Linked DNA regions of Kluyveromyces lactis. The protein of the gene in region 1 interacts with the protein of each later gene in a pairwise test. Links are inferred from orthologs where the notes say so. Each region holds a gene or a part of one and is shown on either strand. Other genes may lie near its edges. The genes, in order: PAT1, SCD6, LSM7 and LSM4.

Region 1 (4,213 bases):
GCTTTACGGTACATATTGCACTTTCGGCGTTCATAAGGATTGAAGTGTTCTAGTAGATGGAAATATGATACATTTGTAATAGTAAATAGAAGAATTACTTAGATACTATAAAGCTGACTTTTTTTTGCAATTTTTTTCCTTGAGATTTGATTTCGAATTTGTAGCACACAGTTAACAGTGGCAATCGAGATAGGGGCTGATCAGAGGAGGCGCACGATATCGATCACTTCAGTTCAGTGATTTCACCATCACGAGCAACAAGACCCATGACATTCAAGAACAAGTTCAAATCCTGATAGAACTTGTTTCTTTGATAAGCCAGTTTAGGGTCTTGTTGAGAAGGGGCATTTAGTTCTTCAGCCTTTGAAATGACTTCGAAAATTTCGTCTCTCACTTCATCAATCAATATACGTTGATGGTTCAATTTTCCGCTCAAAGCAAGCGATGCAAGGAACTGCCAGATGTAAGATTGATCATACTGAGTAGAATCCTGTTCATAAACTGAAATGGCGTGTTGCATATATTCAGGTGTTGGGAAAATTGCAGTCAATTTTGTTTCTAAAGAAGTAAATAGCCTATCATAGACTTCACTCCAAGTGGATACTTCCACAGAAGACAACAGTTTGCCCCTGCTAACATCTTGTTTCATCAAAGCAGCACGTGAAATGAGCACGGTAATCAAATTCAAACCGATACGCGATGTGGTGATGAAAGAAACGTTATTATTCTGAATGACATTTATTAGTAGACTCATTACCTCCAAAAACTCTGCTGAACTGGATAAGAACGAAACAATGATCTTCAAAAACACAGATTGGAACAATTCCATCTTCTTCAGTTGATCTTTAGTAGGAAGTGGAGTAGTCTTGTACGATGATATGACAATGACATTCAAATGAGAAAGTTCCTTGAAGAAGCAGTTGAAAAGCTTAATCTTCTCTTCTCTTGACAAGAAATTCATAATACGTGGCATAATCTTGATACCTTTGTCGAAAGATAAGATGGAAATGAAGGGAGAAACGTCAAAACCGTGGTCCTCAACGTGTAGCGCCTCCCATAATTTTGAACTGTCCGGCTGTTGACCGGATCTCAATTGAGCTTCTAGTTCAAGCACTTCTTCGTAAACAGTTTCAATCAATGATAAAATGAACTTACGGCCACCAGAACGGGATAAAACTGTACGATGGTCCACTGAAGAACTCAAAGCATAAGATGATCTTCTTCTTTTGGCATTGATATCCACGCCTTGCAAAGATTCAGACACCTCATCTAGGGCTGAGCTTGATTGAGAAGACAACGCTGGAGAATCCTCTTTGTGAGTTGGGATTTGTAATTGCTTTCTTGGAGCTTTTGAGTTCCTAGTAGCTGAGATTTTACCCAAGACACCCTCTTTGGCATTATCCAACCCACCCTTACTTTTCTGTGGTCTTTCTTTCGCAACGGTAACAGCCTTCTCGACCTGAGATTGCATTCTCTGTAACGCGACGTCAGTTCTCTTGTAACGACCTCCTAATCTGTGACCCGAGTGCTCTAAATATGCTTTAGCAATAGAATCCTTATTAGATTCAGATGGAGTGACACCCCTTTGAATGATTTTATAAACTTGGAAGTAGAAATCCTCATTGTAGGGATCATCAGTGACAATTTGAGATAACTGATACCTGGTGATAAAATCCTTGTCTCTTGGAGTCATTACACCAGAGTGTCTGAGAATTTTGTCAACCTTCGATTGTCTGATTTGAAGACGTCTCAATTCTTCATCAGTCAAAGGATCTTGGGTGCCAAACCTCCTTGGACCACGGCGATACTCTCTAGGTGTATGAGGTGGAGTTGGCACCTGCTCTGATTCTGTTGGCACAGGTGTTGGAGAGTTAGAATGCTCATAATCTTGAGTAGAACGGACAGCTTGGGTTCTAGCAGCAGTGTCAACGGAGTGAGGCTGTTGGAACACTTGTTGCTGTTGGTGTTGTTGTTGGTGCTGCTGATCTTGTTGGTGTTGTTGAGGCAAGTATTGGGGAGGTAACTGCTGTTGGTGGGGCTGCTGGGGCTGAACAGGAGGTTGATTTTGCATTGGTGGCATAGCCATCTGCGGATGTTGCATATGATGTGCAATGTTTCCTTGTGTTTGATTGTACATTATCGGTGGTACTTGTTGGAATTGTTCCTGAGGGTTAACAGGTTGATTAGGAAATCCGGCATTACCGAATTGATTAGGGATAACAGGGGGAATATTTTGCCCAGGGAATTGCTGGTATTGACCTTGAGGGAACCCTTGTGGAATAAAGCCGTAGCCAGGGTTCTGCGGAGGTTGCATACCATAGAATCCAGGTTGAGGCGGCATAGCCATCTGTTGTTGTCTGTCTAAAGATTGAATGGCCAATCCTTCCACATTAGGTGCACCTTGCTGTTGAACCTGTGGTGGGGCTTGGAATTGTGTAGGGGCTTGAGGTTGCACCTGTTGTTGCTGATTACCGGAGCTGTTACCCCATAAAGATTCCATAGGTTGCATGTCCAGCGATTGTTCGAAACCAGGTTTACAGTCTGCTTGTCTGTTCATTTTGGCATTTGCAATAGATGCATAAGAAACAGGAGCTGGTGCTGGTGCCCTACCAGAACCTGAACCAGCGCCAAGCTCCCCTTTACCGTAACCAAAATCAAAATCTGTACCCAGATCCGCTCCAGTACCAAAAGTTTCATCATTGAGCAAATCATCTTCCTCTGGCTCATAATCACCCAAGCCTTGATACGTTTCTTCGAAATCTAAAGAATCCTCCTCGCCTTGCTGTTTCCTCTCACGAGGTTTTCGGCCCGTGGCGTCAAAACCGAAGAATGACATCGTTCAGTGATTCAGGAATATAAGGACTCCTATACTAATTGGGCAAAAATCGATTTCTAGATCAGAATTGTCGACAAATCCTATTATATTCTCTTAAAAACACAAGTAATGTGATTTAAGTCGCTACCTGCCTGCGTTTCGTTCAAGCAATCTTCCAACAAACGGTCTCTGAATATCTCTGATCACTTATTTTTGAGCATAGAAACTACTTTGCTTGTTAAGTGAATTACATTTTTGGGTTGTTGTTTGATGAAAAATTTCACCGTGCAAGATGATATACATATTAAGGATTTCTAGTTCAAAATTTGAAATTCAGGTCATGTGATTTCAAATATTTGACATTTTTCAACATGGTAGTTTAGAAAGTTCCAATACAAACTCGTACGTAGTCTTTCTTTCCTTCATTAGCAGCATATATAAAGTGATTGCGAATAGACAAAGATGACATATACTACTAACATCCTAGGTACAGCTATCTGGAAAATATATCAGCTTAGCAGTTTAGTCTTAAACCTAAGTAATAAAAGATATCTGATCTAATAGCAGTGACCAAGTTCTAATAATTTTAATCTGATTAGCAGTGAAAATACTGATTTGTATGAAGATCTGAATCAAGTATAGTGCTCGAAAAGAATCAACTCAGACTGGTAAAGTGGACTTAACTGCAACTTGGAGAGTACGAAATATCTAAACTATAATCTTGGATTTGATACTAGAAAATGAAACAGAGATTGAGTTCGTTAGATTTGCAACTGATATCCAAAGAGTTGGAGAATCAAATTGTAGGATTTCGCTTAAGAAATATCTATAACATTGCTGACTCAAACAGGCAATTCTTATTAAAGTTTGGAAAACCCGATTCCAAGTTAAACGTTGTCATTGATTGCGGATTGCGAGTTCATACTACTGACTTTACCAGGCCGATTCCCCCGACTCCTTCGTGGTTTGTTTCCAAATTGAGATCGTATTTGAAAGAAAAACGATTGACGGCAGTTAAGCAGATCCCAAATGACAGAATAATTGTGTTTACTTTTGCTGATGGTAAGTACTACCTTGTTTTAGAATTTTTCAGTGCCGGAAATGTGCTTTTATTGGATGCTGACCAAAAAATTCTTTTACTACAGAGAGTTGTCGATGATTATTCGATGAAAGTTGGTGAATTTTATGACATGGCCAACTTTGCAGAAATTAACCAAACTTCAACTACGGTTCCTGATCCTAAGGAATATTTCGAAAATGAAATAGCAGATTGGTTGAAAGAAGCCGACGTTAAAGCCAAAAGCACAATTGTGCCCGGAGAGGCTAAAAAAGGTAAACTCAAGGGAAAAGCATCTGTTCCGTCTATTCAAAAACTTTTATTTGTTCATGCTCCACATT
Region 2 (2,705 bases), on another chromosome or scaffold:
TGCACACATTACTGCTGTGACGATATCACCTAGGTTCAGGAGAATATCGCTTGCATCGATGCTATGTGACACATTAAAAACCATAACAGATAACTCCCCGCATAATGTGAACTTTATTGATTTATTTGTGAAATGCAATAACCAATTGGCGATCAGTTTATATGAAAAATTGGGATATTCTGTCTATAGAAGAGTTGTAGGATATTACAACTCGCAAACTGATCCAATACCTTCCCGGTCAACAAAACCAAATGACCTCAAGGATGCCTTTGACATGAGACATGGGATGGAAAGAGACCAGGGAAAAAGTCTTCGTGCTGATGGACGGAAACATAATTGCTTGCCGATGGACATACGGTTTTAATGCTGTACTTTTAAAATTATAATAGCTTTTAAATTTGTATACTTAGTGTTTCTATGTTACACATGCGTCTTTCCCTGCTTTTACTTCGATAGATTGCTCGATTCATTTCGTGTTAGCTTCAATTTCCCGGTGTGTTAAGAGGTAGTTGAGATAATAGGTATTTAATGGGGTTCTGTTAAGATTCAACATCATGGACTGGTGGCTTGTTGGCAGCATTACGATTTCCACCACGGAAGCCACCGCGGTTACCGCCACGGTTACCTCTATATCCACCACGACCTCTGAAGCCGCCACGACCATTGTTTCTTGGTCTGGCTTGACCGAAAGTATCCAAGTTGACCTGGCGTTCCTCTTCCCATTTGGCAGAAGACGAGTTTTCTACGGCGGAACTTGAAATGGAATCAAAGAATGAGGATTTTTTATCGTAGAAAATCTCATCTGTCTTGGAGGTTTGCTTCTCTTGTTCTATATCTGATTCTCTGGGCTTTTCAGCATTCTGGAATTTGGCGTTGTTACTTTCGAAATCAAATTCAGAATCTGGAACAGCAGAAGGAGCCACCGCAGCCACAGGAGCAGCAGGAGCCGCAGACTTCTGCTGTTGCTGGTTAGGAACTTTCTTTTCGGTAACAGGCTGTTGGCGGGTCTGCTGTCTTTGCTGCTGCTGTTTTTGCTGGTGTTGTTGGGGAACTTGCTGCTGATCCTTGTCTGGAGCGTACACACCATACCCGGCCACCGCAGCAGGAACGTTGGGCCCATTTGCATTAGCCAACGGAGCTGGTGGTTGACCGCTTACCTGAGGTGGCAATACAGGTTGTACTTGTTCCAAAGGAACGTCTAAAATGTTTAAATCCTTAACGTCATTACCGTTGAAAGGCACCGTATCGTAGATATTAGGGTTGGGATAGATTTCTTCCGGGCCCCATCCCTTGCGTCCCTCTGTACCGAAACAACGAACTTGTCTTAAAGTAACAACACCTTTCTCAGAGTCAATAGACTCCAATAAGCCGACATAACGGTTATCAGTATTCGAAATAAGAGCAATAGTCTTACCAATATATTGCGACATCCTTTCAAAAAGTGGACACTCTATAATCAATAAATTAACTTCTAAAACCCACTAGATACAAACAAATATCCTTCTTGAACAACGATCAAAGTGTGGGAATAGTTCTAAATTAAGAGCGAACGTTAGCAGATGCAGTCAGTATTATTCAATGTCATAGTCCCTTAGATTTCTAAAGATTCTTCAATTGGAAATACCTGCATGGAAATTCATAGTTTTGACGGTTTCAATATTAATTTTCGATGTTGACGAATGGCATTTCAAAACCACGTGATCAATATCAACACTTTTTTTTTTTCTTTTCGAAGAATCCTCACTTCGAGGCAGACGAGAGCCAAAAAATGTGTGGAGAAGGGACATTACAGCCGAAAAACTGGAAAATAATCTGTGATAAGTGACCGCTATTCATCTAATTGGGGAATAATTCTGGGAAAGTAACTACTATATAAATGGAATATAATTTCTAAGGTGTAAAGTGCAAAATGTTCCTGTTTTCAAGCCTAAACTCTTCGGTTGGAAGCGGAGAATAATAAAATCAAAAAAAAAAGTAAATTTAGTACTTTGCAGTGCTTATTGAATGAATCACCGCCCCTCTAACAATTTATTGTGAACAGGAGATAATCAATTTTATAAACGCCGAAGTTTAGTAGATCAGGGTCAATTAAATCACGTACCACCGTAACATATGGCAAGTTTAGAGAATGCTTTCGTTGGGGCAGTCTCCAGCGGGTTTGCCAATTTGGCAGTGTATCCACTTGATTTGGCGAAAACTGTGATTCAAACTCAGTTGAAACAAGGTGATTTGTACCCTTCTTCTGATGTTCAAGCTGATGTCTCTACCAAGGAAAGTACTGGCTCCAGTAAACCGAAGAAACACGGTATACAGCAGATTAAACCGAAGCCTGAACCTCCGACAGCGACTAAAGAGTCATTGGAGCAGCGGTATAAGCATGCATTAGATGTGATTGTAAAAGTTTATCGGAATGAAGGGTTTGGTGGATTATACCATGGGTTAAGCGCATCATTGCTTGGAACTTTCATACAGAGTTTCTCTTATTTCTTCTGGTATACCTTGATCAGAAGACATTATTTCCGTGTGAAGAAAGTGAAGGGTGAGGCTGCCAGGTTTTCAACAATTGAAGAATTGCTGCTTTCCATGCTGGCAGCAGCAACCTCTCAGTTATTCACTAATCCAATCAACATTGTTTCGACAAAACAACAGACTAGACGTGGTTTAGAAGGGGACAACAGTTTCAAGGCTATTGCCAAGGAGGTTTA
Region 3 (2,528 bases), on another chromosome or scaffold:
TTTATTATAACAACGACAATAGGGCTCAAGCTGAAGTTCCATTAGAAACAACCTTCTCACGAAGCGAAAATCCCGTTAGGGATTTGCTTGATTATAACTCACCGGGGGTTTGAACCCTCGGCGAGCGGACAGCTGCGTTCCACCGAATTTCCCACCTGGAATGAGGAGAACAACTCCTCTGATCAAGTAGAACATTCAAATCACATGACCTCTTCTCAAAACACTTCAAAGTAACGAGCATCCACCTTATACTTAAGAGTGAATATTCTTTGAAGCGCTTCAAGGGCTTAGTATGAAGTTGAGAACAGGAAATGAATTGCCATATTTGATCTTTTTGTAACCAGGTTCATATGAACAGAGACTTTGTGTTCTGAGGAAGATTCGAACCGAAGTCGCAACGTGGCCTTTTTACCAGCTACGGCACAACACCCGACTCAAACCAATTACGAATTCATTCAGTAGTAGACCCTGTCACGTGTGTGTCAGGTGTCATTTCCGTAGTTCAGAGTATCATCCACGAGGCCAAGGACGAGAATATAATTAAACTTATGTAAATTATCAACTCCCTATAACTCATCATCTGTGAGCATCAATTCATCGTCAGCTAATGGCGTGAATTGAGGACCTACTTCAACAACGGCAGGTCTCACAAACCCGCCGTAATTCTTTTTTACTGGTCCGAAATACTTCGTTCCTTGGAATGTACCATTGTTCTTACCGTCAGGTTCGTCAAATTCAATTCCACACCATACATCTGTATTACTGATCTCTTGAACTTTTCCCACGTATCGTAACCATCCTCTTCTTTCGGGGACCTTGGTGGAATCGGTCGTTGTTTCCTCGTTGGACAGTACTCTGCATCTTTCTCCAACGTGTTTTTGTAATAGTTCTGCCTTATCGATATTCAGTTGTAGTTGTTCTTCCATCTTAGAGCGGTATTCAGGATTAAATTTCCCTAACTTGTTATCTTTTTTCCATTGTAATACAGAATCCCTTCTGTTCTCATAATCGTCCATGGTGTATCGGAACGAAACGTCATCGCTATTAGCATGTAGCAAATCATTTTTCAATTGGCTTGCTAAACTGTTTTCGTTGGTGTCTATCACTTTTATGGACTGGATTTTCTCTACTTTCTGGTCTTTGAGATCTTTCAAATACTTGCTGTTCTGTGCATTGCCATTTATCACCAATTTCATGTCTTGAACATCAACACCGGTCAATTCGTTCAATCTTTGGCCCAGATGGTCCCATGATGTACCAGGTTTCACAAAGATCTGAGTGTTAACCAAATCGGATATAATTTCCACGTCAGATGACATTATCGGTGCTGATATATCCTCTGTTTTATTTTGTCTTCGATGCTGTAAGTTCAATGTTTGTCGTTTTGTCCAGGCATGTTTGAACATCGAATTTTTCAATGTTCCGTAAACTTAAATGAAAAGTTAATTTGAAACCAGTAACACACTTTGACAATAACCCATTGAGCAAACAGCGCTACCCCACCCAACCAACTACTAATAATGAGCGAAGCAGTATGTTAACTACTATAATTAGGACGGCTTTCTAAAACTTCTTCAACTTTCTCAAAACAATGATCCATTCTACATTTTAAGTTCAAATTTACTAACAGTTAGAGAGTTTATACATTCCCCTTCTCTGCAGAGGCAATCACAACAACCGAGACAAGAGCAGAAGAAGAAGTTCGAAGGCCCAAAGCGTGAGTCTATCATAAATCTTGCACAATATAAGGACACAGAAGTACGTGTCAAGTTCATAGGGGGAAGACTGGTCACTGGAATCCTAAAGGGTTATGACGAGCTAATGAACTTGGTTCTTGACGAAACCGTCGAATATGCAAGAGACCCAGAAGATGAAACCATCATCCACAAGGACCAAGCCAAAAAAATTGGTTTGGTCGTCATAAGAGGAACAGCTCTACTTTCGCTATGTTCCCTCGAAGGTGCTGAGATCATCAATACCTAGTTAAGACCCAAAAAAAAAAAATTTCAAGCAACAGTGTACCATATATGTTCATTAATAGTGCTATATAACGTTCAGTGCTATATCAAACTCACACTATGAGCCCATATCCACATTTCTACCTGTATCTAATGAAATAAGTATCTCCAACGGAGATACTTTCCTAACCGGCTACATCTCACTTATCAAGACCTAATCTGCACAAATGTGCGTTCACGTGACTTATTGAATCTTTTTTCTAACATCAGCAAAGCTTTTTGGTTAAATTTCGACCAAAAAACCGTATCTCATCGCATCGACTGATTAGAGAGATATCTTGAATTCTTTAAACCGACTGCGTCCAGGTGTTCATTTATATATATGTGAGTATATATCTCTTGTGAGAGTTGTTCTTTTAACGTTTCAAATTCTCTTTTCGCTTGTTGCTGCAAATCTGTTTGAATAATATTTTCTGTAGTATTCTTACTCTTTACTGAAGACCAATCAATTAGCGCATCAAAGCGAACTTCACTTAGGTTTATCTGCTGCTAAAAGAAAATAATATGAGT
Region 4 (2,351 bases), on another chromosome or scaffold:
CACTGATTTTCTTTAAACTCCCATCGATCTGCCTTTCATCGATCATCGAAGAGGATGCTCCCGTGGATGAAGAAGAATTATTGGTAGCACCACTATTAGCTCCTAATAAATTAGAATTGAACGGTTTCAAAAGTGTATCATTCTCAGAATGATGATGAGTGCCCATGTGCATTTGAAGGATAGATTCCTTGTCAAAAACGTTGCCGCTATGATGCGACAAGTGTTGTTCCATAATTACACGAAAGAAATAAATGCACACGAAATCCTAATTGTTTTAGACAAAACAAAGCAAAGAAAAGCACGCCAGAGTCAACAAAGCGTTTCGAGTCGAGTGTCACCTTCTGCTGCTGCTTCTGCTTCTGCTCCTGGCAATGTGATCTCAAGCTCGCTCACTTTGTAAAATTCAACGTAAAATATACCACGCAGTTACGGTTATTCTAGCTTTTCCACCAGTGCCCAAAAATGTATCCAGATATCGGAGTAGCAGACCAAATCAATCTCAACTGGAATGCTCTGATATTTAGCTAAGTTCACGTAGCCTACAGACACTGTTAATAACAAAGGTATACACAAATCATAAATGACATTGTAAAGTGCGTGAGAAAGTCTGCTTTCAAAAGATTATAATCTTTATTTTAAACTGTGATCAAATCTCTTTACCCAATTGGGAAAAGAAAGATTAGATGCCTCACCAAAAAAAAAATCTCAGATCTCACATTTCAAACCTCACTCCAGTGTGTTCCCATATTCAAAGCTGAGGCAACCTTTCAAAACGCCTAGAAGGGTCCGTATGACACGAAGGAGTAGGGGGGCAGAAACAGTCTTAAAAGTGAAAAAATAAGAGAAAAATCAATAATCAGATTATATTCACGTGTCAGTATTACCCGGGACACTCACGTGATTCGAAACTTTTAAGTGTTACCCGGTAAATGAATTTTATGAAATGTCGAGAATGCTTTTTCCAGCTCAATGAAATTTGGAAAAACTGAAGTTATATTGTAATTGGAATTTAAATATTGTCAATGCAATTGTATGCATTTGGTTCGTCCTACTAGGGAGTGTTACATAACTCAAACTACAGATACGCAGATAAGCAACAAAGTCTAATTCATACTTTTTTCCCTCACATTTTTCCTTCTCCAGACAGACAGAGTCCTAATTTTTTGGTATATTGTATATTGTTCCGGCCCCACCCTTTCCTACGATTAAGTTACTACGGTTTGAGATACCTAAAGAAATACGACAGCACGGGCACACTATAATTGGTAAAACAGATCAATAAGTTATAACATAAAATGCTTCCATTATATTTATTGACCAATGCAAAGGGTCAAACAATGCATGTTGAACTAAAAAATGGAGAAACTGTGGAAGGTACGCTATCTGATGTAGACAATTGGATGAACTTGACACTTTCCAATGTCACTCATGTAGCTAGTGGAGAGACTTTGAAATTACCAAGCTTCTATTTGAAAGGTTCTTTCATCAAGTATGTTAATTTGCAAGATGATATCATAGACAAGGTAAAACAACAATGGGGTCAAAACAGAGGCGGTAAAGACGATAGAAGAAGAAATAACAACTACAATAATAACAATAATTATTATCAGAATAGGGATGGTAACAGAAGAGGTGGTAGAAGAAACTATCAAAACTCAGGTAACAGAAGGGATTACAACAACAACAATAATAATAATAATAATAATAATAACAATACTCACAGCCATAACAATGCAGGATCTCGTCGTTATAATATTCAAAATAGATCACAATACGATGCATCATCCAATCCACAGCTTTCGTATTCGCAGGCGTCAAACAATAGTAATCAAACTCCACAATTTTGATTTAACCTCTTTTCTCAGCATTTAATTCTTAAGTATTTGTGTGTCTACATGGTTACATATTCAATCACTTTTATTGCGGTTAAAGAGACTATTTTGTTGGCTTGGACGGTCAAAAGTCTATAAAAACATCTGTTTCGATTGCATTCGATGCGATATCCTAAACCTTTTTCTCGTTACTCCTTTCACACTTTTGAGATTTAAAACTGAATTTGGGTTATGAAATTAAAAGAACTACCTATTAATTATGATTCAGAGTTAGTGAACCTTAAGTTCAAAGCAGTATATCAGTGCTTTATATATTAAGAGTATGTGAGCATGGGTACCGTGGAAAAGATCAAATGTTGTTATTTTTTAAATTACTCTATACAAAAATGCTTGGTTTAGAAAGTCCATGCTAGATATGCAGTATTATATAGGAGAAATATGAGACTCCTGAAGAGAGCCGGACTTTTTTTTTTTGGCCTCACTTTAAATATAAGAGGCGAACTTATTTAGCCTTGTTAT

Evidence for each region.
Region 2: the proteins of PAT1 (region 1) and SCD6 interact in a two-hybrid assay, tested with the Saccharomyces cerevisiae proteins (2 studies listed by BioGRID). The link is inferred for Kluyveromyces lactis from reciprocal best matches to the Saccharomyces cerevisiae genes PAT1 and SCD6.
Region 3: the proteins of PAT1 (region 1) and LSM7 interact in binary tests that used the Saccharomyces cerevisiae proteins (3 or more experiments, as listed by UniProt). The link is inferred for Kluyveromyces lactis from reciprocal best matches to the Saccharomyces cerevisiae genes PAT1 and LSM7.
Region 4: the proteins of PAT1 (region 1) and LSM4 interact in binary tests that used the Saccharomyces cerevisiae proteins (3 or more experiments, as listed by UniProt). The link is inferred for Kluyveromyces lactis from reciprocal best matches to the Saccharomyces cerevisiae genes PAT1 and LSM4.

The regions. Positions count from the first base shown.
Region 1 is NC_006042.1:2,529,571-2,533,783, reverse strand, and holds PAT1 (deadenylation-dependent mRNA-decapping factor PAT1), read right to left. Parts: upstream 2,837-4,213; coding exon 224-2,836; downstream 1-223. Other genes in the region: RQC2 (Rqc2p), read left to right, coding at 3,556-4,213. UniProt on the Saccharomyces cerevisiae protein: Activator of decapping that functions as a general and active mechanism of translational repression and required for P-body formation. First decay factor recruited to mRNA, at a time when the mRNA is still associated with translation factors.
Region 2 is NC_006038.1:986,181-988,885, forward strand, and holds SCD6 (Scd6p), read right to left. Parts: upstream 1,431-2,705; coding exon 540-1,430; downstream 1-539. Other genes in the region: peptide alpha-N-acetyltransferase complex B subunit NAT3, read left to right, coding at 1-364; ANT1 (Ant1p), read left to right, coding at 2,113-2,705.
Region 3 is NC_006041.1:2,036,761-2,039,288, forward strand, and holds LSM7 (Sm-like protein LSM7), read left to right. Parts: upstream 1-1,520; coding exon 1,521-1,532; intron 1,533-1,662; coding exon 1,663-1,983; downstream 1,984-2,528. Other genes in the region: ALF1 (Alf1p), read right to left, coding at 567-1,319; FUR1 (uracil phosphoribosyltransferase), read left to right, coding at 2,523-2,528. UniProt on the Saccharomyces cerevisiae protein: Component of LSm protein complexes, which are involved in RNA processing and may function in a chaperone-like manner. Component of the cytoplasmic LSM1-LSM7 complex which is involved in mRNA degradation by activating the decapping step.
Region 4 is NC_006041.1:1,855,092-1,857,442, forward strand, and holds LSM4 (U6 snRNA complex subunit LSM4), read left to right. Parts: upstream 1-1,295; coding exon 1,296-1,847; downstream 1,848-2,351. Other genes in the region: SBF complex DNA-binding subunit SWI4, read right to left, coding at 1-232; TMN3 (Tmn3p), read right to left, coding at 2,335-2,351. UniProt on the Saccharomyces cerevisiae protein: Component of LSm protein complexes, which are involved in RNA processing and may function in a chaperone-like manner. Component of the cytoplasmic LSM1-LSM7 complex which is involved in mRNA degradation by activating the decapping step.